2 linked regions of the Lytechinus pictus genome follow. The protein of the gene in region 2 purifies or fractionates together with the protein of the main gene of each other region. This does not show direct contact. Links are inferred from orthologs where the notes say so. Each region holds a gene or a part of one and is shown on either strand. Other genes may lie near its edges. The genes, in order: mitochondrial intermembrane space import and assembly protein 40-like and cytochrome c oxidase subunit 6B1-like.

Region 1 (11,447 bases), on a different chromosome or scaffold from region 2:
CCATCTCAAGTGTTCCAACTTACATGTACCCCACTTACGGGGTAAGTTGGAGCATGGTATGGGGTAAGTTGGAACACTGCATGGTAAATTAAGAATTATACTAAAACTACTTACAACTATAACATGGTTTTAGCTTATTTGCTTATTTTTTCAAGTTCAAAATATTAGAGATGTGTATTCTGATTTGTTGAACTTTATGTGTTCTAATATTACACATGATATACAGCCACTCACACTGGGAGACTGTATACGAGAATTCTGCATATTTGTGTGCGTTTGATTTTAAAAGCAATTATTAAAGGGTATTGATCAGCAGTTTGATGTACTTGACATGGACCGTCATGGCCCAGCGAATTAGTCTCTAGACTTTGAAACAGAGGGTCGTGGGTTCAAATCCCAGCCATGGCGGAAATTCCTTCAGCAAGGAATTCATTCACAGTGTGCTGCACTCGATCCAGGTGAGGTAAATGGGTACCGGCAGGAAGTAATTCCTCAAAAAGCTGTGTGCACCTGAATACGGTAGGTACATGTAGCCTAGCTTAGCCAGGTAATGATAATAGCAGGGCCCACTGGGAGAACAGTTTTCAGAACTGAATTGGCTACCCTGGGTAAATATACCGTTATTATTACTTCTGCATCAATTTTTTATTACATTAATTACTATAATCAGATAAATATTTATGCAAAGTAGTTTTTTAACTGTAACTCAGTAATAAAATGAATATGGAGGCTGATACTGTATATGAAATATAAATAGTGGCTTTCATGACAAATGTACATGTATGGTGCCAAAATCTAATTACTCATTAGGTAGGGGCAAAGTTGGGGATTATTATAGGAACACACACCTCTAACTGTACTTTGAAGTATTTAACTATACCATACAATAAAAATTAAAGGTCAGAACTGAATGAATGAAAGGGTAAATTATGCTAAAAACTAATGAACATTGTTGTCAAACATGAGATACAAACAAAGTGTGGTACCGTACCCAATAAAATGCACCTAGCACGTAAAACAAAAATACAAATTGGGTAATCAATTTGGCAACTTCTTATATTGCAGTTAACACATTTCCTGTTCCAAATAGCACCTTCAATTTTGTTCCAACTAACCCCAGAGGCCCATGTGACATTTACAAGCTTACAGCATAGAGCTCTCTTAATAGCTCCATGCTTACAGCATGAAAAAGGGACTTCATCATGGCATATTAACAACCTTATTTTGTAGCTTGCCTTGTTACAGGTACAAGTGTCTATTAGGCCCAAGGTGACCAACTTGATCTACCAGTATAAACTTCTCTGAGATAATAAAAAATTTCTGAAAGAAAAAAAAAATACTCAGAAGGTGAAACAAGTGGAGCGCCTCTGGCAGTTTCACCTGCATCACACGATTCAATATAACAGCAGTGCTGACTTTGAAAACTATTATAACATAATTATTCATAAAAAAACACAATTCATATAATGATACAATACTATATTCATTGACAATAAATGACATTTGACCTTGATCATGCGACCTAAGACTTGTCAGTGATACTTGATTACCCCTATATCCACATTTAATAAACTATATCTACATTGTATAAACTTTGAAGTTTGAAAGTTATGACAACAATCTAATAATTACCTCCAAAATGGCCAAAGATCATTGACCTTAAATGACCTTTGACTTTGGTCATGTGACCTGAAACATGCATGAGATGTTCAGTGATACTTGATTACTCTTATGTCCAAGTTTTATGAACTAGACCAATACACTTACAGAGTATGATGGTAATTCAACAAATACCCCCAACTTGGTCACAGTTCATTGACCCTAAATGACCCTTGACCTTGGTCATGTGACTTGAAACTCATGCAGGATATCCAGTAATACTTGATTACCCTTATGGCCAAGTTTCATGAACTACATGTAGGTCCATATACTTTCAATGTTTTGACGAAATTTCAAAAACTTAACTTTAGGTTAAGATTTTGATGTTGATTCCCCCAACATGGTCTAAGTTCATTGACCCTAAAGACCTTTGACCTTGGTCATGTGACCTGAAACTCAAGCAGGATGTTCAGTAATACTTGATTAACCTTATGTCCAAGTTTCATGAACTACATGTAGGTCCATATACTTTCTAAATTTAGTTATGCTGTCATTTCAAAAACTAACCTTAGGCGGGGTGGCGAAAAAGCGACGCCTATAGTCTCACTCTGCTATGCAGGTTAGACAAAAAACAAACATTTCTTTCTAACTTCACCAGGCTTGTTGCACATGTGTTGTCTGTAATATGGTGGACGGCTGTTGCTAATGGCAATAAGTGTTAAAGAAAATTACAATGTTTCAACTTACCCCACATTCCAACTAACCCCAATCTCCCCTACATGGTTTACATCATCAATTTTTAGACTGATAGAAGAATGAAAAAGGAGTGATGTACATGTAGTTGCTGATCACTGGAGTACATCTACATATATATGTAAGTTCATGTTTTTGCATCAATTATGCTTATTTATGACAAAAAGTGTACAGAGAGTGAATTGACGGACCAATTCCTATGGGATGAACCTGATGTTCATCACTTTCGTGTAATGTAGCAGTAGTGTATGTAGACTGTGTATTGTAGTGGAGCGTACACGAACCATTGCCTAAGGTAACCTTAACCAACCCTAAACATGTTGGCAATAGATTTGTGCTAACTAATTTTAATTTCTTTTAAGCTGCATGTTCCATCACTCTTTCCAATATTATGCTTATGTTCTATCGATGCGCTGTCGATGGCAATACACATTGTAAACCTCACGCACGGTATACCTTGAGTCTAACTGTCAACGATCACCAACAAATAGTACACCACACCTTTAACATTCGATCAAAGGCATGGACGAGATTGAAATTCGGCAAATCAGGCCCATATTTCCAACAGAAAAATACAAAAAGTATGTTACGATATTTTTAATTCTAAGCATTTTCTGTCTTTTTGGAGATACAAGGTAAAAGTTTGATTTTTTTCGACTTGTTTTTGTAAATCTTGTTCCATTTATTGCTCTCTGAAATTAAACTGCGGAAGTCATACGCCACAAAATCGTGTTTGTACGCAGTAAATGGCGCATCCGGAATCATGATACTAGTGGTCGGCGGCAAGGCGGTAATACAATGCTCGACTATTATATATGTAGCCATTTCTCTTATCTGCTTATGACCAAAAGCGTTTATCAATTTTAGTTAGCAACATTATTCCTTGCAGTTGCACCAACAAATGACCACGTTTGAAAAAAAAGATTGTCTCACACTGCAATGCACTCTGTTGCGCATTGCTTGGCTCCCTGCATGCCCGGGGGGGGGGGGGGGGGGGCACTCAGTATACATGTATAATGCATTGTGGGTAGGTGCTGCGGAGAGGACCCCCCTTTTTACACTCAAATTTACGTTCCAAGGCATAGCATTTTTATCTTATTGAGAAAAAAAAAGAAAGCCGCTCCAAAGCATAGCATTTTCTTCTTATTGAGAAAGAAGAAAGAAATCAGTTCCAAAGCTTCGCATACCGTATATTTCGTTACGCCGTTCCGGCTGCAATGATCCGCTACAATTAGCTGCATTTTTGGTGAAAAGCGGCCGCAGATCGCTGTCCGACCATCGCCTCTGCGCAAGCGCACCCGGCACCCGTACTAGCTGCATGCACGTATGCCCATTCCATAGGGATGCATATGCACTCACACGCAGGCGACCCGTTCCAAGGACCCCAGTTTTCACAAACATTTGTAGTTCCGAAGCCGTTCGGTTCTGAGGACCCTCCTCTTTACAATAAGCCCGCTCCACAGCCCCCGTTTTTTGTCTCGCCCGTGGCACATACCTACCACTTTTTTGGTCGAGTACCCCCCCCCCCCCCAGCCAGGCGGCTTCTTGAGAGTAAAAATCATTTACTAACGTAGGCTTACTCTAAACGAAGCCAGGGAGTCCTCCCTATTCATCTGCATGTACCGCAAAAAACCCTGAAACTTTCGCCCCCGAGATTTCTACTTTCCTTCTAAAAGATCTCATGTACATGGGATAAAACTTCATTTCCGACATTTCTACGCTCTCGTTGTTATTTTTAAACAAGAATTCATTTAAAAAAATGAAAAAATATTGTGAAAAGACGGAAGAGACTTGCCCGATGTTTACGCCGCCATCTTTTTTCTTATTGTACTTCCCCAATGTTATGGACGCGTTAATGTACATGATTTAGAGCTAGATCTTTTAGAAGGAAAGTAGAAATCTCGGGGGCGAAAGTTTCAGGGTTTTTTGCGGTACACGCAGATGAATAGGGAGGACTCCCTGGCTTCGTTTAGAGTAAGCCTACGTTACTCGTTAGTTAATGATTTTTACTCTCAAGAAGCCGCCTGGCTACCCGGGCCTGCATGGTCTGGGATTGGGAGTGAAGCAATTATTGTATGACACAAAGATCTATCGATCTTACAGTGACACACAGAGACACAAATAGTTCCAGCCAATCCGCTTCCGAAATTCAGAAAAAAATATTTGCATCTGACAGATCATGCATGATGATTGATGCAATGTCAAGATGTCTGTGAGTGTGATCAAAGTTCAAAATCAAACTTTCAAATTGTGCATTGTGAAAGTTTGTTTTTTAATTTGCCTCACATTATAGTTTATACAATTTACAAGTCAAAATAATATATTGATCTCAAACTCCCTGAAAATAATTGTCTTATCTGGTAAAAAATCCGCACAGTAAAGGGAGTAAAGCCTTCGGCTTGGCCTCCAGCCTAAGTTTTTTAGGCCTGCCTTCAGCCACTCACGATCACAGAGTCACACGTATTGCGAGGTTTTAGTATTCAGGGGCCCGTTTCACAACACCGTCATAAGTCTAACTTCTTGACTAAATCGAAGATAGTGAGCTACTTGTCCGCTAACCGTTTCACGAAGCCCTCTTTGCCAAGATCGGGGACAACAACCTGACTAAATATTTATGACACCTCCGAACCTGTCATAACTTCTTTCTTAATGACGTAGTGGCATCACGTGGGTAGACTATGACATGCAAAAGTGCCTCGAAATTTGAAAATTATAATCTTACGTAATCATTCATAGAAGTTGAAATAACATCACAAAACAGGTGTGATAGATCATTCAATAATTTTTGTAATGCACAGAAACTATAAAAACTGTTGGTCAAACGCAACAAAACCATTCATTTTGAAATAGTAAAATAATTGAATCGATAAAGATTCTACCACGTCAGGCCATCCATAACTGGACTCGTATTCGTCGTTCTCAGACACTTATCAACATTTTTGATAAATGCTATCTCTAATTTATGCAAAAAATTGTCAAATCTTGTGTTTCGGTATGTAAACATTTAAAATTTATGTTAAACTATATTTTGATGATGTTTGGAACCATTAATAAACTCATAATTATCACAAAGAAAACAACTGTGGTTTACTTTCGTAAACTATCCAAATCTACTATCCCGGGGATACCCATCTCAATGTCCACATGTAAGTTTTTAGTCATGAAATTGAAATGAATTATTCATAATTTGATTTTCTCAGCAAATGAATGCTCCAGTCTTCATGGTTTAAGTATGCATGGTACATATTTTGCCTCTGCTATTATTTTGATTAAATGTATTTCCAAATTAATCACAATAATTGCAGTTTTATCATATTTTTACTTTTAAAAAATTGTGCTATTTTGTGACTAAGGCTACGTCTCGTCTGCTCTTTCAACCGATAGTATCGATATCAAGGTATTCTAGTTAGGAAGCCTTTCGTGAAACGGGTTTAGTAAGATTGAAACTAACTCCGTGGTTGGTGGATAAAGATATGACTAACTTGTCCAGGTAGGTATTAGTATACTAGCTCCTAGTCCTAGTAGCAGGAAAACACTTGCTTACCTCCGCCGGTCTGGCCCGGGGATGTTTCCTTCGAGTTCGTGCTGAGGGGTAGTAGAAGTGCGTTTCCCTTTGTCGTGGGATTTCCCATTTTCCTAAAACTGACGTCTGGTTGTGAATACAGTTTGATCTTCTAGTCCCAGTACACTATCTGATCCCCTGAATATATTTTTATTTTCTTTTAAACTACTCAAATTAAACAATTTACGATCGGTCGACCAGACGGTTACACATTATGGTCTGGTCATATGCCAACAAACGGTATACGATACGGCGTACGGTCGACCGGCCGGGATGCGGCGTATACGTGGCGACTCGCACCATTGCTTTCCATTCAATTTCGATTCGAGCTACCAATAGTGTAATGGTCTTTTGATCAGCAGCCCATTCACTAAATATGATAAAATCTATGCATAATGATAAGAAATCAATTTCCAGCCCCAGCATTTTATGATCATAAGAATCGATTATCATTACACTGAAATCCATTAAATACATAAAATGGCACCATTACTACATAATAAGAAATTATCATCTGGATTTAGTAATAAGATATAACCATTTTCCTGAACAAAAACTATTTACGGTAACACATGTGTGTGCAGGTATTTCTTACATCATCACTGTTAGCTGCTGCGTCTAAATACAAGTCGAATTCTTACAGAATTAGGGGAGAATTAGATAAACAACAATGTCGTATTGTCGCCAAGAGGGTATGTATAATGTTCTCAGATTATTCTCTTTTATGTTTTTAAAGCATGATTTGAAAAGGGTGTATTCTGAACTCTGAAGTATTTCTTCGCAACATTCTTCATCATCTACTTCATCATTCATGATGATGATTACGCCGTACTTCCCCGCGGTTGCCGGCTGCCCCAGCCTAGCCCCTGTCCAACGGCCCGTCCCCTTCCCGATCCCTGGGCCCTGGCGCGCTAGCGCTCAGGCAGCCTCAGCTTGTTTCACTGGCCCGTATTCTGAGGTCAGGTGTAACTTAGACTAAGGTTTAAAGTTGTGGTTTAAGTATGGGAAGCCAAATGTATCATTTTTTTTATTAAGTTGTAATTGTACATTTCCTATGTTTACTCACTCACACGTATTGCGAGGCTAGTACCTCGTATTACTATTAGTGTGAGTGGTATTAATAGTATACTAACCTCGCACCATGAACCGCGTGTGGCAGTGGATTTCTAACTAGCTAGTGGGTCTCGCGTGATGGGATCTCACTTCTGGTGTCCACAACACATGACTTCTATGGCTTGATTTTTCTGTGCGCGGCAGCATGTAATGAACCCTTGGGTGATGTTTACTGTGCTCTTTCCTGATTCATCGATGGTGAAGACAATCATCTATTTATACGTACTTTTTACACAATTATGAATGATTTGAGAGCAGAATGGGCTGAAGTATGATATCTCTACCGTTAGTGGTTTATGTAACAATTGGCTGTCCATACTTAAACCACAACTTTAAACCTGAGTTTAAGTTAAACCCGACTTCAGAATACGGGCCACTGAGTCTGAAGTGCGTGGAGCTACATGTAGCTGGAGCGCGATAGATACATGTACTGGGCGGACGTGCATTAACAACGTTTAAAAACAACGGGCATTAAGGTAAGGTGGGCCTGGCTGAGCAAATCATGTCACGTCACTCGTCGGTAGCCGAGTGCTGCATTATTTATATATTCACGGTTATTTTCAATTCCGTTAAACGCCTGACTTAGTTTTATATGGGGAGTCGAAACCGAACAGTTTTCGGATAAACAAAAACATCATGATCATTAGATCATACCTTTACTTTAGGCTTTGTTTTGCCAAAGACAGTTGCCACCTATACTGAAAGCAGTGTAAGCCGGTCTGGGTAGCCAAGAGGCTCCTTGAGAGTAAAAATATTTTACTAACGTATGCTTACTCTCCAACGGAGCCTGGGATTCCATCCCATTTATCTGCGTATACCGCCAAAAAACCTGAAACTTTGGCCCCCGAGATTTCTACTTATAAGATCTAGCCTTAAATCATGTAAATCGGATACAACTTCATTTCCGACATTTCTACGCTATCAATTTCATTTATAAACAAGAATTCATAAAAAAATGAAAAAAATATGAAAAGACGGGGGAGACTTGCCCGATGCTTACGCCGCCATCTTGTTTCTCATTGTCCTTCGCCGTTACTTTTCTCTCTCTTTCTCTTCCATTGCACCTTGGGCACTGTGCAGAGCGGATTTGGCGCATTACAAATCCCTTCTAAATACCAATCTTACTTTTGTAAATCACTGCAAGTACAAGCAGTGATGATCAGTAATATACAATGGCTTTTTGTACAAACAAAACTTATTGTAGACATGTTTCTGTGTTCTTACGTTGATCTTTGTGATTATTTTTTTTATTATTATCAGGGAAGGACCAAGTTCTCTTCGTCACAAAGGAGGACCATGAAACCCCCATCAAGGAGGAACTCAAATATCTTGCTGAGGAAGAAGAACCAGAAGGTACATAATATCTTGTTGATACTCGACTAAATCACCCAAGACTTTACTGATGTGACGTTACCATATTGCTTCTAGACTGATGGTACAGAAAGGATACATTATCTGGAAAAAGGAATTATGTAAACAAATGTTTGCAACCATGTCCATGATATTTTGTGTTACCACACCCTTAAAAATCCTAGCTAATGATATTTGTTTGAAAGTAAACTATCTGTAATGGCAGCTTGTGGGCATTCCAGCAGTAAGATGTAAACTAGAAATTAGGGCGAAGTCAAAATTTTAAACGTCATTCTAACAACATTTTAAGAGGTTCATTTTTTCCTACTACAACTGTGTGACCGTATTGAAGAAAAAAAAAACACTTCCCAAAATGTTGCTGAAATTCTACAGATCAATATTGTACATATTGTAGTCCCACATGTAGACTTTCATGTAGGTAGATCGAGTGTGACATCGATTGAAAACAATCTTTCATTGTCAAGAAAGATGGGAGACTCTCTGATTCTCTTGATAATTCCCAATTAAATCAAAAGAATTTCAAGGAAATATGGAAAATAAGTAGGCCAGTTCAATTTCATTTATATGTAGCGGTGAAAAGTGTAATTTCAGCAACTTATGGGGACGTTATTTTTTCTTTTATCCTTGCCAGTTAGCATTTAAGAGTTTTTCAAAATAAATGTAATGACTAGGGACTATATGAAATATATGTTAAGAATTCCATTTTACTTATCAAACTTTAAGGCAAGATAATGTTTTTTGTACTTTAAAATTGAATGCATGTACTAGTATTACAATTTTGTAGGTTTTACGGACACTGTTTATTGTATTTGACAGGTTTGATCCTTGCTAATGGGGATATCAACTGGAGTTGCCCTTGTCTTGGAGGCATGGCCAGTGGTCCCTGTGGTATGGAGTTCAGGGAGGCCTTCTCCTGCTTCCACTACAGCATGGCCGAACCCAAGGGGTCTGACTGCATAGACAATTTCCGGAAGATGCAGGAATGCATGGTCACCTACCCTGAACTGTACCCCATGAACGAGAAGTCAGATCCTAGTGAATCTGCGGACATTGTACAAGAAGCGTCTCAAGAAGAGATTGAAAAGGACCAAGCAAAAAGTGAAACGGACAAGGAGAATGTCAGCTAACGTGTAAGGATAGAAGAGGGAAAAAGCTCTGGACTTTTATACCTTTTTTACCTGTTATAATTGATTTATCCAATGAATAGGAATCATACTGCTGTTGAAGTCACCGACAAAAAATAACTTGGTGCTGATATGACTTCCCTGCTCGGTGAAGAAGATATGGCATTCTTTTGAAATGCAATTGCTTCGCTATGGCATTATATGGAATAACCCTAATTACATTCTCCAAACCAGTCACCAAAATTTGTAGAGTGTCTCAATTTCCACTTCTTAGCTGCGTCACATTATTGGCACTGTGGAGAATATGGCCAATACTTCTTGGGGTTTGCTGCAGGAGCCTATTTCATGTGCATTCAGTTGTTAATTTCAATTGCAAATTATTTTTGTTATTGCTTGGAACATCCATCGTTCAATTATTTCAAGAATTATGAATAATTATAGGATGTAAAATTGACTTGCAATTGAATGCAAGTTTCTTGCAGTACCCCCATACTTTACTTTGTTTACTAAACCTCATATTTTATCTGGGATTTGACAAAATTTAGTTCAAATTATTTTTTTTATAATGCAAGAGTAATAAATGAGTGCAGCTATAAGTAATGAGACCAATCACCAGGACATATTGATTCAATCAGAAATTCAATCAATTTCAGTGCTGTTTCATGGTGATGAATATCTGTATGTTATTACAGGGCTCGACACTAGCGGCGGTCCGACGGTCCCAGACCGGTAAAAATCGCTGTCGGGCCGGTAGATTTTCAAAAATAGGAAGATTTACTGGTCCGACATGACCAGTAAAAAATATCATTGTCGGGCCAGTAATTTTTCCAAAAATAGCAAGATTTTAAGGGTCCGACATGACCAGTAATGAAAACCATTGTTGGGCCAATAACTTTTCCAGAAATGGTCAAATTCACTGCAAACCATTTCCCCCCGACAAATTCTGTCATTCACACACAGAATACACACAGAATGAATTGCACGTAAGTGTTACTAGAGTAGATACAGTGTACATGTAGCCAGCCACACAACCCATGTGGTAAATTCTCTACTGGCTGCGCGAACGAAACTTTGCTAAACTCTGGCAGAAATCTCTCACAGAACTATCAAAATTCACGGTTCATACTCATGAAAGGCTCTTATAATGTCCATATTTCCTAAAAATTGGAGTAACTCTGTCATTTGTAAGCAGTAAAAGGAGAAATTTTCACTTCTGTTTGGTTCAAACAGATCGGGTTTCGGGTGATATCGTCTGAATACATATTAGCCCCACATATGCATTTATGTGTGTGTTGATACACTTGGTTTCTGACTTTCTTTCGTAGCTATTTTAATTGAGCCAAAAAGATACTGATAAATTATTTATCATGATAGTTTTAGCTTTCTTCCTCTGTTTTCTTCCTATCTTTCTTTCCTTCTTTCTTTTCAATCTTTCTTTGTTTCTTCCCTCTCTTCTTTCATTTTTTTGGTACTGTCTTTTTTTTTTATTTTCCCTTTTTTTCTTTAATTCGTTCTTTCATTCTTTCTATCCGTATAAAAAATATTTTTCTCTATTTCTTTTTTCTCTCTCTCTCTTTCTTTTTTCTTTCTTTTTTTTCTTTCTTTCTTTCTCTCTTTCTTCCTTCCTTCCTTCCTTTCTTTCCTTCCTTCTTTTTACCCTTTTCTTTCCTTCATTCTTCGTTACTTTCTTTGTTTCTTTCTTCCTTCCATCCATCATTTATTTACCCTTTCTTGTTTTTTTTTATTTCTTCCTTCTTTCAGCTCTCTCTTTCATTCATTCCTTCCTTTCTTCTATCTGTCTTGTTCTTTCCTTTTCCCTTTGTTAAATCTATCCTTTTACCTTTCCTTTCTTCTTTTTTTGACTGCTTGCTTCCTTTCTCTCCTTTATTCTTTCATTCCTTCCTTTCTTTGTCTCTCAGTCTTTT
Region 2 (12,114 bases):
GCTCCGAGAAAAGAAGCACAATGCGCATGCGCGTTCGATGACGTCTGACATATTTTCCATTCATGAAATCAGAGCCCAAAGTTGGGCACAAACAAGCCTCAAATTGATGGAAAAAAAATCAAACATAATTTTTCTGTTTTGTCATGTACAATGTAAAATATTATTATATGGTGATATTACGATCTCAAAAGAGTTTCTACATGTTGACAATGTTCGATAATCAATCCTGACGTGATGATTTTTTTTTTTTTAAACTAGTGCACTCACTCAAGTCGATCGTCATGTGATGTCCGCCATTGAAAATTGAAACGAAATACAAACGTTTCACATCAAGCTCTAAAATCATATTAATGATTATCATATGCAAATTATTGTTAAATATTACGATTAAATCATGTATCTATGGTCATGATATTAATATTGTTCATGAAAAGCAAGATTTACTTTACGTTGATCGCATCAATTTCCGGCCATTTTCTGATTTGATTAAAGCACGGTACTGCGCATGCACGATGAATGGCGACTTCCATTCATAAATTCATCGTGCATAAATTATCTCGGCACGAGCCGGGCAGACGAGTAAGACCCGAACTATGATCGAAATAAACTTCAAATTAATGGTGAATAGGCATCATAATTACACAATCGGTTTCATTTTGGGGGAAATATAAATGAAGTAAGTAGTAGTCAAGTTGGATATTACTGTTTATTTTGATGTTTGATTGTGTGAACCAAATGAATCGGCTGGCCGACATATTTTTTTTTTCTTCGATGCACCGATTTGGCAAAATCTGCACCGGAGTTCGATGACATCGATCGAACACCGATTTTAAAATCGATTCGACTCAGGCTTAATAGCATTAGAGTAAAGTGCCCAACTATCAGACAATTAGACTATTAAAAGCATAATTGGACCAAAACAAAAAACACAGTCATTGAATTAAATAAAAATCATGTGTATTTCCGTAAGTTAACTAATACAAATGTTGAATATTATTATTAATGTCATAAAAAATAGAAATTTTGAAAAAATATGGTAAATGTCACTCATTCAATGAACAAGGCTATTTTCTGGTTTTCTGGTACTATTCCCTGTATGGCAAAATACGGTTGGCAATGTTTGGATTATATTTTCTCTTGTTTGGGGAACAAATACTTGATTTTTTTACACTGCCAGTTTACATTGCAACTTGGTTCTTAAATAAATTGAAGTCTGTTGATTATTTTTTTCTCAATTAAAAAAATAGATTGGAAAATGAAAATTTTCTTGAAATTTGACTTTCCACCAATAGAGGGCCTGCCAAAAAATATGCCCAAAATTCAAGTTTTTGAGCGCTCCAGTGAATAAAAAAATGATCCCCACATTACTAAGGACAGTGATTTTCCGCGATCGCGGAAAACGGACGGAATTCACGGAAAGGGCCTTTTGAAACGGAAATACACACAACAGGAACAGAAATTACTCCAAAATCTCAACAAAATATGAATATAAAATGGCCACAAAACCCCAGAAAACACGATCTCACTTCACTATAATCATGACAATTCACACATCGTGACTGCACTCGATATCACCACTCTCGATTGTACCCCGCGCCAGTATCCGGCTGGCCGGGCTGACGCCGGGTTGGGCTTCACATGCACACATCCTTCGAACAACACGGTTGTGTGTTGCTGCCCTCTACGTTCAAAGATGTAACAGCACGATATCGAGGTCTTAAAATCAAAAATGGCGGATTGACGAAAGTCGTTGACTGCGGATAATGATGTCCAAAAAAAAAACCAAATTATCAATGAAATTTCATTTAACCGTAAAATAATGCTAATAATGTGAAAGGTGAGGATATATTCATGTCAAGTGTGTTTGTCAAAATATTTTGTGTACCCGCATAGATCCGATTAGAACAGATTCTATTGCGTTGTTGGTACAGTGGCAGATACAAATTTTGACCAGCGCGAGTGTTTTATTGCTATTCAATGGGTAAACAGAATTGTCACTTTTCCATGTGTACAAAGTCTATGGGGAAAAGGAATTTCCGTTTTCTGACATGCTGAAACGGAATTTGAGATTTTCTGAAACGGAAAAGGCAATTTTTTTTAACGGAAAATCACTGTCCCTACATTACAAATGAAAAAATAGATTGCAACTGTATGGAAATTACAATTTTTGGTTACAAAAGTGACTGAAATTTTCTGTTTGGGAGGAGTCAAGTTTTAAAAACCTTTTTTTTTTTTTCTCCTAAAATTTTCTACACTTTTTTGTATCTCATATGGAGGGGGTATACTATAGTGAAGCAAGGTGTAGTCCAGGGGCCCGTTTCTCAACACATGGACAAGTTAGTCATATCCTTATCCACCAACCACAGAGTTAGTTCCAATCTTACTAAACCTGTTTCTCGAAAGGCTTCTTAACTAGAATACCTTGATATCGATACTATTGGTAAAAAGAGCAGACGAGACGTAGCCTTAGTCACAAAATAGCATAATTTTCAAAAAGAAAAATTATGGCAAAATTGCAAATATTGTGATGAATTAGGAAATATATTTTTTTTAAATAATAGCACAGGTGAATTATGCATCATACATACTTAGACCATGAAGACTGGAGCATTCAGTTGCACATAAAATTAAATTATGAATAATTCATTTCATGACTAAAAAATCACTTGTGGACGTTGAGATGGGTACCCCCGGGATATCCAATTTTGATATTTTACGAAAGTAAACCATAACGGTTTTATTTGTAAAAATGACGATAATTGTACAGTCTTTTACGATTCCAAGCGTCATCAAAATATAGTTTAATGAAACATTTTTAATCATTGATACCGAAACATACAATATTTGACAAATTGTATGCATAAATTAGAGATAGAATTTATCCAACTGTATAGGGGTCTGAAAACAAAAAATACAAGTTCAGTTATGGATGGCCTGACGTGGTAGAATCTTTATCGATTAAATCATTTTAATATTTCAAAATGAATGGTTTTGTGGCGTTTTACCAACAGTTTTTATAGTTTCTTTGTATTACACTTATCATTGAATGCATTAATCCACTTGTTTTGTAATGTGATTTCAACCTCTATGATTGATTACGTAAGATTGTAATTTTCAAATTTCTAGGCGCTTTTGCATGTCATAGTCTACCCACGTGATACCACTACGTCATTAAGAAAGAAGTTATGACAGGTTCAGAGGTGTCATAAATATTTAGTGAGGTTGTTGTACCCGATCTTGGTAAAGAGGGCTTCGTGAAACGGTGAGCGGACAAGTCGCTCACTATCTCCGATTTAGTCAAGAAGTTAGACTTATGACGGTGTTGAGAAACGGGCCACAGCAGATTAAGCAGAACAACAGACGAATACATGTACATGTATATCTCCACTTGAGTTCATCTCAGTCTTTATTAGTATTACTTAGCCAAACTACATGTAAAGCTGAGCCTGAGTCAAGGCTTTTTGAGATTAAAACTCATTCACTAATGCGAAGTTATTCTCCATATTATAGTCTGAAACATCGCATATAAAATATAGCATCGGTTTGCCCCTTATTATCTCTTCTCCAAGTACTGTTACAGCGGAAATTATTCTAAATCAGCCAAGGAAAAATATACACATGGAGTGTTTATTTCCAATTCGTCCTATTGCCAACTCTTCTACTATCGTTTGGTCTACCATCAGTTCGTCCACTCACCACATGGTCTACTTTCATTTAGTCTAATGCCATTCCATCTATTAACCAGATGGTCCAATAGCCATATAGTCCATATAATTATTAAACTTAAGTTTTAATTGTGCAAAATGAATGAAAAGAAAATGGGTATTAGACCAACTGGTTATTAGACAAAATGGTAATAGACGAACTGGGGATTAGACGAAGTGATGGTTGTACCAAACGGTTATTGGACCAAATGGTTGTTAGACAAAATGTTGATGGACGGAATGGCATTAGATTAAATGAAGGTAGACCATGTGGTGACTGGACGAATTGGCAATTTACCACATGGAGGACTCTTTTTGTCTCACCTGCATAGCAGAGTGAGACTATATAGGCGCCGCTTTTCCGACGGCGACGGTGGCGGCGGCGTCAACACCAAATCTTAACCTAAGGTTAAGTTTTTGAAATGACAGCATAACTTAGAAAGTATATGGACCTAGTTCATGAAACTTGGCCATAAGGTTAATCAAGTATTACTGAACATCCTGCCTGAGTTTCATGTCACAAGACCAAGGTCAAAGGTCATTTAGGGTCATGTTGGGGGATCAACATCAAAATCTTAACCTAAGGTTAAGTTTTTGAAATGTCATCATAACTTAGAAAATATATGGACCTAGTTCATGAAACTTGGACATAAGGTTAATCAAGTATCACTGAAGATCCTGCATGAGTTTCACGTCATATGACCAAGGTCAAAGGTCATTTAGGGTCAATGAACTTTGGCCGAATTGGGGGTATCTGTTGAATTACCATCATAACTTTGAATGTATATGGACCTAGTTCATGAAACTTGGCCACAAGGTTAATCAAGTATTACTGAACATCCTGCCTGAGTTTCATGTCACAAGACCAAGGTCAAAGGTCATTTAGGGTCATGTTGGGGGATCAACATCAAAATCTTAACCTAAGGTTAAGTTTTTGAAATGTCATCATAACTTAGAAAATATATGGACCTAGTTCATGAAACTTGGACATAAGGTTAATCAAGTATCACTGAAGATCCTGCATGAGTTTCACGTCATATGACCAAGGTCAAAGGTCATTTAGGGTCAATGAACTTTGGCCGAATTGGGGGTATCTGTTGAATTACCATCATAACTTTAAAAGTTTATGGATCTGATTCATGAAACTTGGACATAATAGTAATCAAGTATTACTGAACATCCTGTGCAAGTTTCAGGTCACATGATCAAGGTCAAAGGTCATTTAGGGTCAATGAACTTTGGCCAAATTGGGGGTATTTGTTGAATTACCATCATAACTTTGAAAGTATGTTGGTCTAGTTCATAAAACTTTGACATAAGAGTAATCAAGTATCACTGAACATCCTGTGCCCATTTTAGGTCACATGACCAAGGTCAAAGGTCAATGAACTTTGGCCATAATGAGGGTATCTGTTGAATTACCATCATAACTTTGAAAGTTTATGGATCTGACTCGTGAAACTTGGACATAAGAGTAATGAAGTATCACAGAACATCCTGTGCGAGTTTCAGGTCACATGATCAAGGTCAAAGGTCATGTAAGGTCAATGAACTTTGGCCACGTTGGGGGTATTTGTTGAATTACCATCATATCTCTGTAAGTGTATTGGTCTAGTTCATAGAACGTGGAAATAAGAGTAACCAAGTATCACTGAACATCTTGTGCGAGTTATAGTAGTTTTCAAAGTCAGCACTGCTGCTATATTGAATCGCGTGATGCAGGTGAGACCGCCAGAGGCATTCCACTTGTTTAATGGTGCTGAACACTTTAAAAGACCAAGTGAAAATAAATATTATAAATTGAGATTGAACATACCAAAGCAGTTAAAGTTCTAGGCCTATCAAACAACTTCTGACATTTATCTATCAAGGCTAGACCTACATGTAGATCTAACATTAGACCTAGGCCTAACATTAGATAGATCCTGCCTACTGTTATCTCGTGTGGTGCCAACCTAGCACCGCAGAACTAAGTTAAAGTTAGGCTTAACCATTAGACCAAAAGCTTCGGGGATGATTTATATGCGATCGCGCAGCTAGAGCTGAAAATTACTGATAATACCCTTCAAGACATGCACATAATTCTGTATAAGCACTTGTCCTTTCCCTTTTCAATTTTATTTTTATTCTCTATTTTCCCCCTTTTCTTTCTTTCTCTTTTTCTCCCTATTCCCTTTATTTCCATCCCATTCTTTTCTCTTTTTCTTTCTTTTCTTTTCTTTTCCTCTTCCTTTCTTTTTTCTTCTTTTTCTCGTCCTCTCTCACCCCTTCCTTTTAATTTCCCATCTCCATTTCCCTATTTATCCCTCTTTTCTCTCTTTTCATTTTGCGTAAATAAAAAAGGGTTATTTCTTTCTCTCCTTCCTTTTTCTTTTTCCTCTTCTTTCCCCCCCCCCCCTCTATTATATCTCTTTTTTTCTCTTTCTCTCCTTTGTTTTATTTCTCCCTTTCCCTTCTTTTCCTTTCATTTTCTTTCCCATTTCCTTTTTAGGGGGTAACCCCCTGGATCCGCGCCTGTTTGAGCTTTGATAACATCCAATATTTGGATGGTGACGTTAAAGGTCTAGTCCCAGACAAAAATAATCATATCTGATTGATACACGTTTTTAAAAACTCAATCACACCCACTAGGTCCTGATGTGCAACCACAAAAAGTGTTTATACCCCCCACTGCGACGCCCCCTTATGTATGCCACTTGCCAGTGATCATAATCATTAACACCATCACCATCATCATCATGTGGTAGGACTGTATGGTAGCCTATCATTTTCTTAGATAAAAACTGTAATCATACTGAGATTCTAAACAGTCTTTGATCTAGACTCCAACTTATTATCTCTTAACACTGTATGCAATCCTTAAATCTGCATGTAAAGTTATATACATGTAACAAACAAACTAAAAAAAGTTAAAAGCTCTGGCCACACTGGTAAAAATGTTATGATTATGCTTGTGTTTACCTCAAACAGATGGCCAACCTCTCTCATGGCGAAATTGGGACTCGGAATGTTGTTGTTATCTTCTGGATACCATGCTTGACCAATCCATGCAGCTCAAGGTATTGTGCCATGTTCATCCGGAAGTATCAGTGAAACTTTTCTTGGTCTCTCTCCAATTCTCTGTATAGGACAGAATATTCTCCGTGTTCATCTCTCTTTTTGTTGATGTCGTGAATCCATTATCTCTTTGAGAGAACAACGCATGAACACGCTATTACAACAGCTTCATCTACTGCCTTCGTGGAGGCTGCCATTTTCTTTGCCTTTGGTTGTCATGGAAACATCGGACGGTTTTTGCCTGCCGGATGGCATCCGAGCACGGCTTTTAATGCCGTGCCGTGGGACAGTGGAAACGGGAAAACGGCATACCGTGCCGTATGCTGTGCCGGAAGGCCTATCATTAGTCTTTTATTAGAAGTCTAAATCCCCAGAAACAACGTTATATCTAACTGTTATGTTACTACGACTGAATTTACTAAAGCGTTGTTGGATCCAAACTGAGTGCTGTCTGTAGGCCCTAACGTTAACGAAGTTAGAATCTAGATGTACTATTTTCGGCCTTATATTTTAGCCTTATTTTCTTGTCTTCTAATATTTTCTAGGGCTCAGTTCTACAATATACAAAATGACACTACATGTAAGGCCTAGATCTATTTGTTGTTAATAAGTTGCTGACCCGACCACATTCAAGAATGGCCAGATCAATCCAGTTCCTTTAGAGTTGACTGTTGTCTTGATCACCTCTTTTCAGAGTAATACACATAGACCTATGTGTGCGATTTTGCATTTAACACGTAAACTCCCACAGACCATCACCGCAGGCGATCGGTCGCTTGATCAGAAGATTTGTGGGCAATTATGTAATATATCTGGGCTGTGATTGGCCAGAAGTGAAAAATGCCGTGTGCCGTTCTCTGAAAATGGCTTGATGATCGATCTGGAAATCCGGCAAATAACGCTGTATGGCACAACACGGCACGGCACCGGTGAAGTGGGAAAAGTTTCACAGGATTTAGTGGTGATCGATTTTTTGTTGTTGCTGTGCCGGATTGCTGTGGCCCCGTGTATGGTCGCCGTGCTAGATGCAGCTTCTTGTTGCTTGGTGGCCATTATATGGAATGGATGACCCTTGTACTGTGTTTGGCACACATTATCACAAGCAAACACAAAGGGAAGATGAGACACTTTGTTTGGTGATTTTACTGTTAGGAAAGATTGGATACTTTAGGGGAATTTGTGTATTAAAATGAATACGAATTCCCCCAAAATGTCCAGTCTTCCCCTTGTAGTGCCTTGTTTGTGGTCACATAGATCTTCCAAGCTTCAAGATCCAGGATGTCTTTTAGTTGCATGTTGTTTATTTCAGACCCTTTGTAGGGAGACACTGCACAACAGTACGAGAATACACCAAGGGCCCATTTTATATAAAAGAGTTTGCAACTAATGTACCTAACACATTTGCCATTGTGGCAACTACATGTACCATGGTAACAGGGCTCAGCAGCCTATCAAAATCAAGCTTTCCATGGTAGTTACACTCATGGTACAGATGGTGGCCGTACTTTACATGTATGTAAAGAATTATAAAGAACAAGTTCAGACCACTGTACACGGTAGGTTGCAGATAATGTATGCCTGTCTTGTTTCGCAAAATGGTAGGGGAGAGATGATTAATTTTCCTCCTTGGCTGCAAGATCAACATTTGAAAATTAAGGAAAAAAAATACTTTGATCTATTCATCTGTTTATTTACCTTTTCCTCTCTCTTTCCATTTACTCTGTATCATTCTAAATAGCACAATATGTCGGAATTCAAGGAAATTCTTGAGAACTACAGGACTGCACCTTTTGATGCCCGCTTCCCCAACACAAACCAGACCAAGAACTGCTGGCAGAACTATGTAGATTTCCACCGTTGCCAGAAAAAGAAGGGAGATGACTACGAGCCTTGTGAATACTTCAGGAGAGTCTACAAGTCATTATGTCCACTTGCATGGGTGAGTATAATTATCTTAATGATATATATGGACAGGCCTCGATCTATGATCTATTATATTACATCTATTGCCCAAATTTGATCATATAAATCAGATATCAGCCAAGCTTTATATGAGTCTATTAAACTGCTGTTACACATGGACATTTCATTGTCTGCTATTAAACATGTGTCTGATTTCAAGATGTTGGTATAAAAAAATCATTTTGTTTTGTGAACAGATACATGTATGTAATTTTAGATAATTAGGTAGAGTACAAAATGATGCTTGTTGCATATTGACTTTGATGTGTATGGTGTTCAATGCAATTCCTGTGAAGTGCCAGCTCAATGCCATGTACATACATGTACATGGCGCTGTACACTGTAAAGTGCAATTCAATCCAAGTTCCTTGTGTTCACAAGCTAAATATCTCTTTTACATAAAAAAGTGGTCATTTTGCCTCCAAAGAAGATTCTGCTAGGATCGAAAGCTTAGGCCCCTTTTGACTCTCTAATTTACTCCATTGGCTCTCTTTTATTAGATAAGCAGTTTTCAGCAGCTTCTTTCTGCCATAAAAAAATTAGTAGTAGAAATCCTCTTATTTCTACCCCCTCCACCTCCCCCCCCCCCCACCTCTTTTCCCCTCAAAGATATGGTATACTTCTTATTCTGCCAGAAGCACACATTTCTGCTTTTCCAAAGTAATTTTACCCCATTATGAACTGTGGTACTGCTAAGCAAAAAAAAAAAAAGTTCACAGAATTTAATGAAATTTAATAAGCAAAATTATGGAAACTGTAAAGAAGTAATATTCACTCAAAGGTTTTTCTCAGGAAAATAATTAGAGTGTATTAAGCAACTGAAAATCAGAAAAATTACTGAAAAATACCCATCCATTTTGTGTGGTCCCTCATGTTTTTTCCTGTGTTAATGCATATACATGTAGCTACACTAGGAAAAGCGTGTGGAAAATTAATTGAATACAATTTCAAGCAAGCCTGAATTACTTTGGTTAAACTTTGTTCTAAAGATAAGCATTTTGGCATGTGACAGAGATTTCTGGGGCCCGTTTCATGAATAATAATAATAATAATATAGGGTATTTATATTGCGCACATATCCACCTTGTTAGGTGCTCAAGGCGCTCCTACATTACCCATTACTCATTCCACATGAAGAGTTACAACTGTTGTAACTTTGCCATTATGGCAACTACCATGGATTGGTAACCTTGATTTTGATTGGCTACTGATCCCTGTTGCCATGGAAGTTGCCATAATGGCAAAGTTCCAACAGTTGTAACTCTTTATGAAACGGGCCCCAGTATTGCTTCCAATCATTTCCTATCGAAATTAGATCTCTATACCAGAACTTGAACTTAGCTTTAATACAAATGTTTTTCAGATCTAAAGACTCTCCTTGTACCCTTTCCCAACAACGCATTGGTACATGTAGTTTTCTCTTTCATCTTTTCTTTACATCCTCATCCTCATGACACGAGAACATTCCTCATTCCACAATCACAAAATTGTTTACTGTTTTTGGTATGCTGCATTAGCAACAGCACCAGCTACAACAGCTATGGTGAGATGAAGCTTGCAAGCCTAGCAAGCGAAAGCTTACCAAAAAACAGGTAAATTTTGTGATTGTGAATTAACAATTTTGTCATGTCTGCTCACAAATCGGGGCCCCGTCTTACAAATAGTTATGATTGATCCGATCAATCTCAAGTATATGGAAATCCATCAATGTCAGAATTTTTCTTTTGGAAATTTGCTCTATGTCCTTTGAAAACAAAGAGAAGCATACTGAATTGTCAAGAAAATATTTTGAACAAACATATATTTTAGATGTTGACGTTGCTGGCTTTCCGTAGTTGCGATTGATCTGATCAATCGTAACTCTTTGTAAGACGGGCCCCAAATGAACCTTTTCAGTGATCCTCATGACAAACCATTGATCCCTTTTATCGTTGTTTTAATACAATGAATCTGTGTGATCTTGGTTTACAGGTTGAGAACTGGGATACTCAGAGAGAAGAAGGGACATTTGCATCCAAGATATGATGTGCCACTTGACCTGTAGATACCATCAGATGTTTATATTCTACTAGAGTTTAGCACCGTTGTTCCTGTACCTCTATGAGTTGACAAGCCAAAGTGAAAAACACATTCATCATCATCTTAATCTGACGTCAGAAAAATTTAATGCATCGGACTAATTATCTTGATTCTAGAACATTATGTGCATACACGCACCAGACCATAATCCTTATTGCCCTATTTTGGAAATATATAACTCTAAAATCAATCCTAAGTAAATAAGATATACATTTTTCTTGCACATTGTTATGCAATATTTTTGCAAGATGGAGATTTATTACAGTGGTTCGTAACAAAATTAGAATTTGAAAGCATTTTTTGTCATTGCCCATCTAAGAACATGAGGTTCTTCTCAAATGAATTCTTTGAATTTTATCATTTGTTGGTTGTGTTTTTGTAAATACTACCTGAGCAAATTGTTCTTCACTACTCAGGTGTGTTGTGCTTACTGTTGATTCTGATTAATTAAATTATCGTATGAGGTGAAGAAATATGAGTTTAAAACTGATATTTGAATAAATTTTGAACTCTAAATACTCTTTGAAAAATCTCAATCTTTGCTGGGGTTGTCTCAGATGTAAAGCATTGTATATGTTAAGGCAATTCCATAAAATATGTAATCTGATACCCTAAATGTGGGAACTCCATGAAGTGATCTTTCTTTGTTTCCAACTTCATATGAAAAGTCATACTCTCAGATTATCATGGCTTGTGCAGTTCCTGATCTCAAGTAAAAGAACCAAGAAACTTAGGGGTCAGATGTTGAATCTTTTATGAAATTGGCCATTATTTCCCCAAAAAAGGCAGTTACAGTAGGTTGCCCAGATCATTGTTTTAAGCTTCGGGTTGATATAAACAAAGGGTACACAGAGATATGAATGAATAGTACGTTTGATTTTTGTGTTGGTGTATGTGAGAGAGAGCAGAGGGTGTAAAAAAAAATGGAACAAACAAGAGAGAGAAAGAGATAGAAATGGGGAAAGATGAAAAGAGAAGGAACAAGCTGGGAAAGGAATGAAATGAGATATTATATAGATGACAATACAAAGAGAAAGAAAAGGAGACAAATTAGCAGAATATCAACTTTTAATGTCCATCGAGCTTAAAGCTGAAAATATGGATGGAAAAACTATTCCAACTTTTCAAATAATTTCCCCTACTTAAATTTGTTGTTGAAATTGATTTCATGAAAAGTGTACATGTAGTACCGATTCAAGATGAGGCAAATTCACAGGTACAACCTAATACATGTACAATGATCAGTTGTGAGACAAAATTGTCAGACTAAGAGAGAAGTGTGAGAAATAAAACAGATTTGAGTGTGTGGAGG

Evidence for each region.
Region 1: the proteins of cytochrome c oxidase subunit 6B1-like (region 2) and mitochondrial intermembrane space import and assembly protein 40-like purify together in Homo sapiens (co-immunoprecipitation; 3 studies listed by BioGRID and IntAct, with this or other methods). This does not show direct contact. The link is inferred for Lytechinus pictus from reciprocal best matches to the Homo sapiens genes COX6B1 and CHCHD4.

The regions. Positions count from the first base shown.
Region 1 is NC_087247.1:23,670,855-23,682,301, reverse strand, and holds the start of mitochondrial intermembrane space import and assembly protein 40-like, read left to right. Parts: upstream 1-6,177; 5' UTR 6,178-6,254; intron 6,255-6,498; 5' UTR 6,499-6,584; coding exon 6,585-6,606; intron 6,607-8,287; coding exon 8,288-8,380; intron 8,381-9,214; coding exon 9,215-9,525; 3' UTR 9,526-11,447.
Region 2 is NC_087254.1:36,808,479-36,820,592, reverse strand, and holds cytochrome c oxidase subunit 6B1-like, read left to right. Parts: upstream 1-6,152; 5' UTR 6,153-8,505; coding exon 8,506-8,700; intron 8,701-10,694; coding exon 10,695-10,748; 3' UTR 10,749-11,657; downstream 11,658-12,114. UniProt on the Homo sapiens protein: Component of the cytochrome c oxidase, the last enzyme in the mitochondrial electron transport chain which drives oxidative phosphorylation.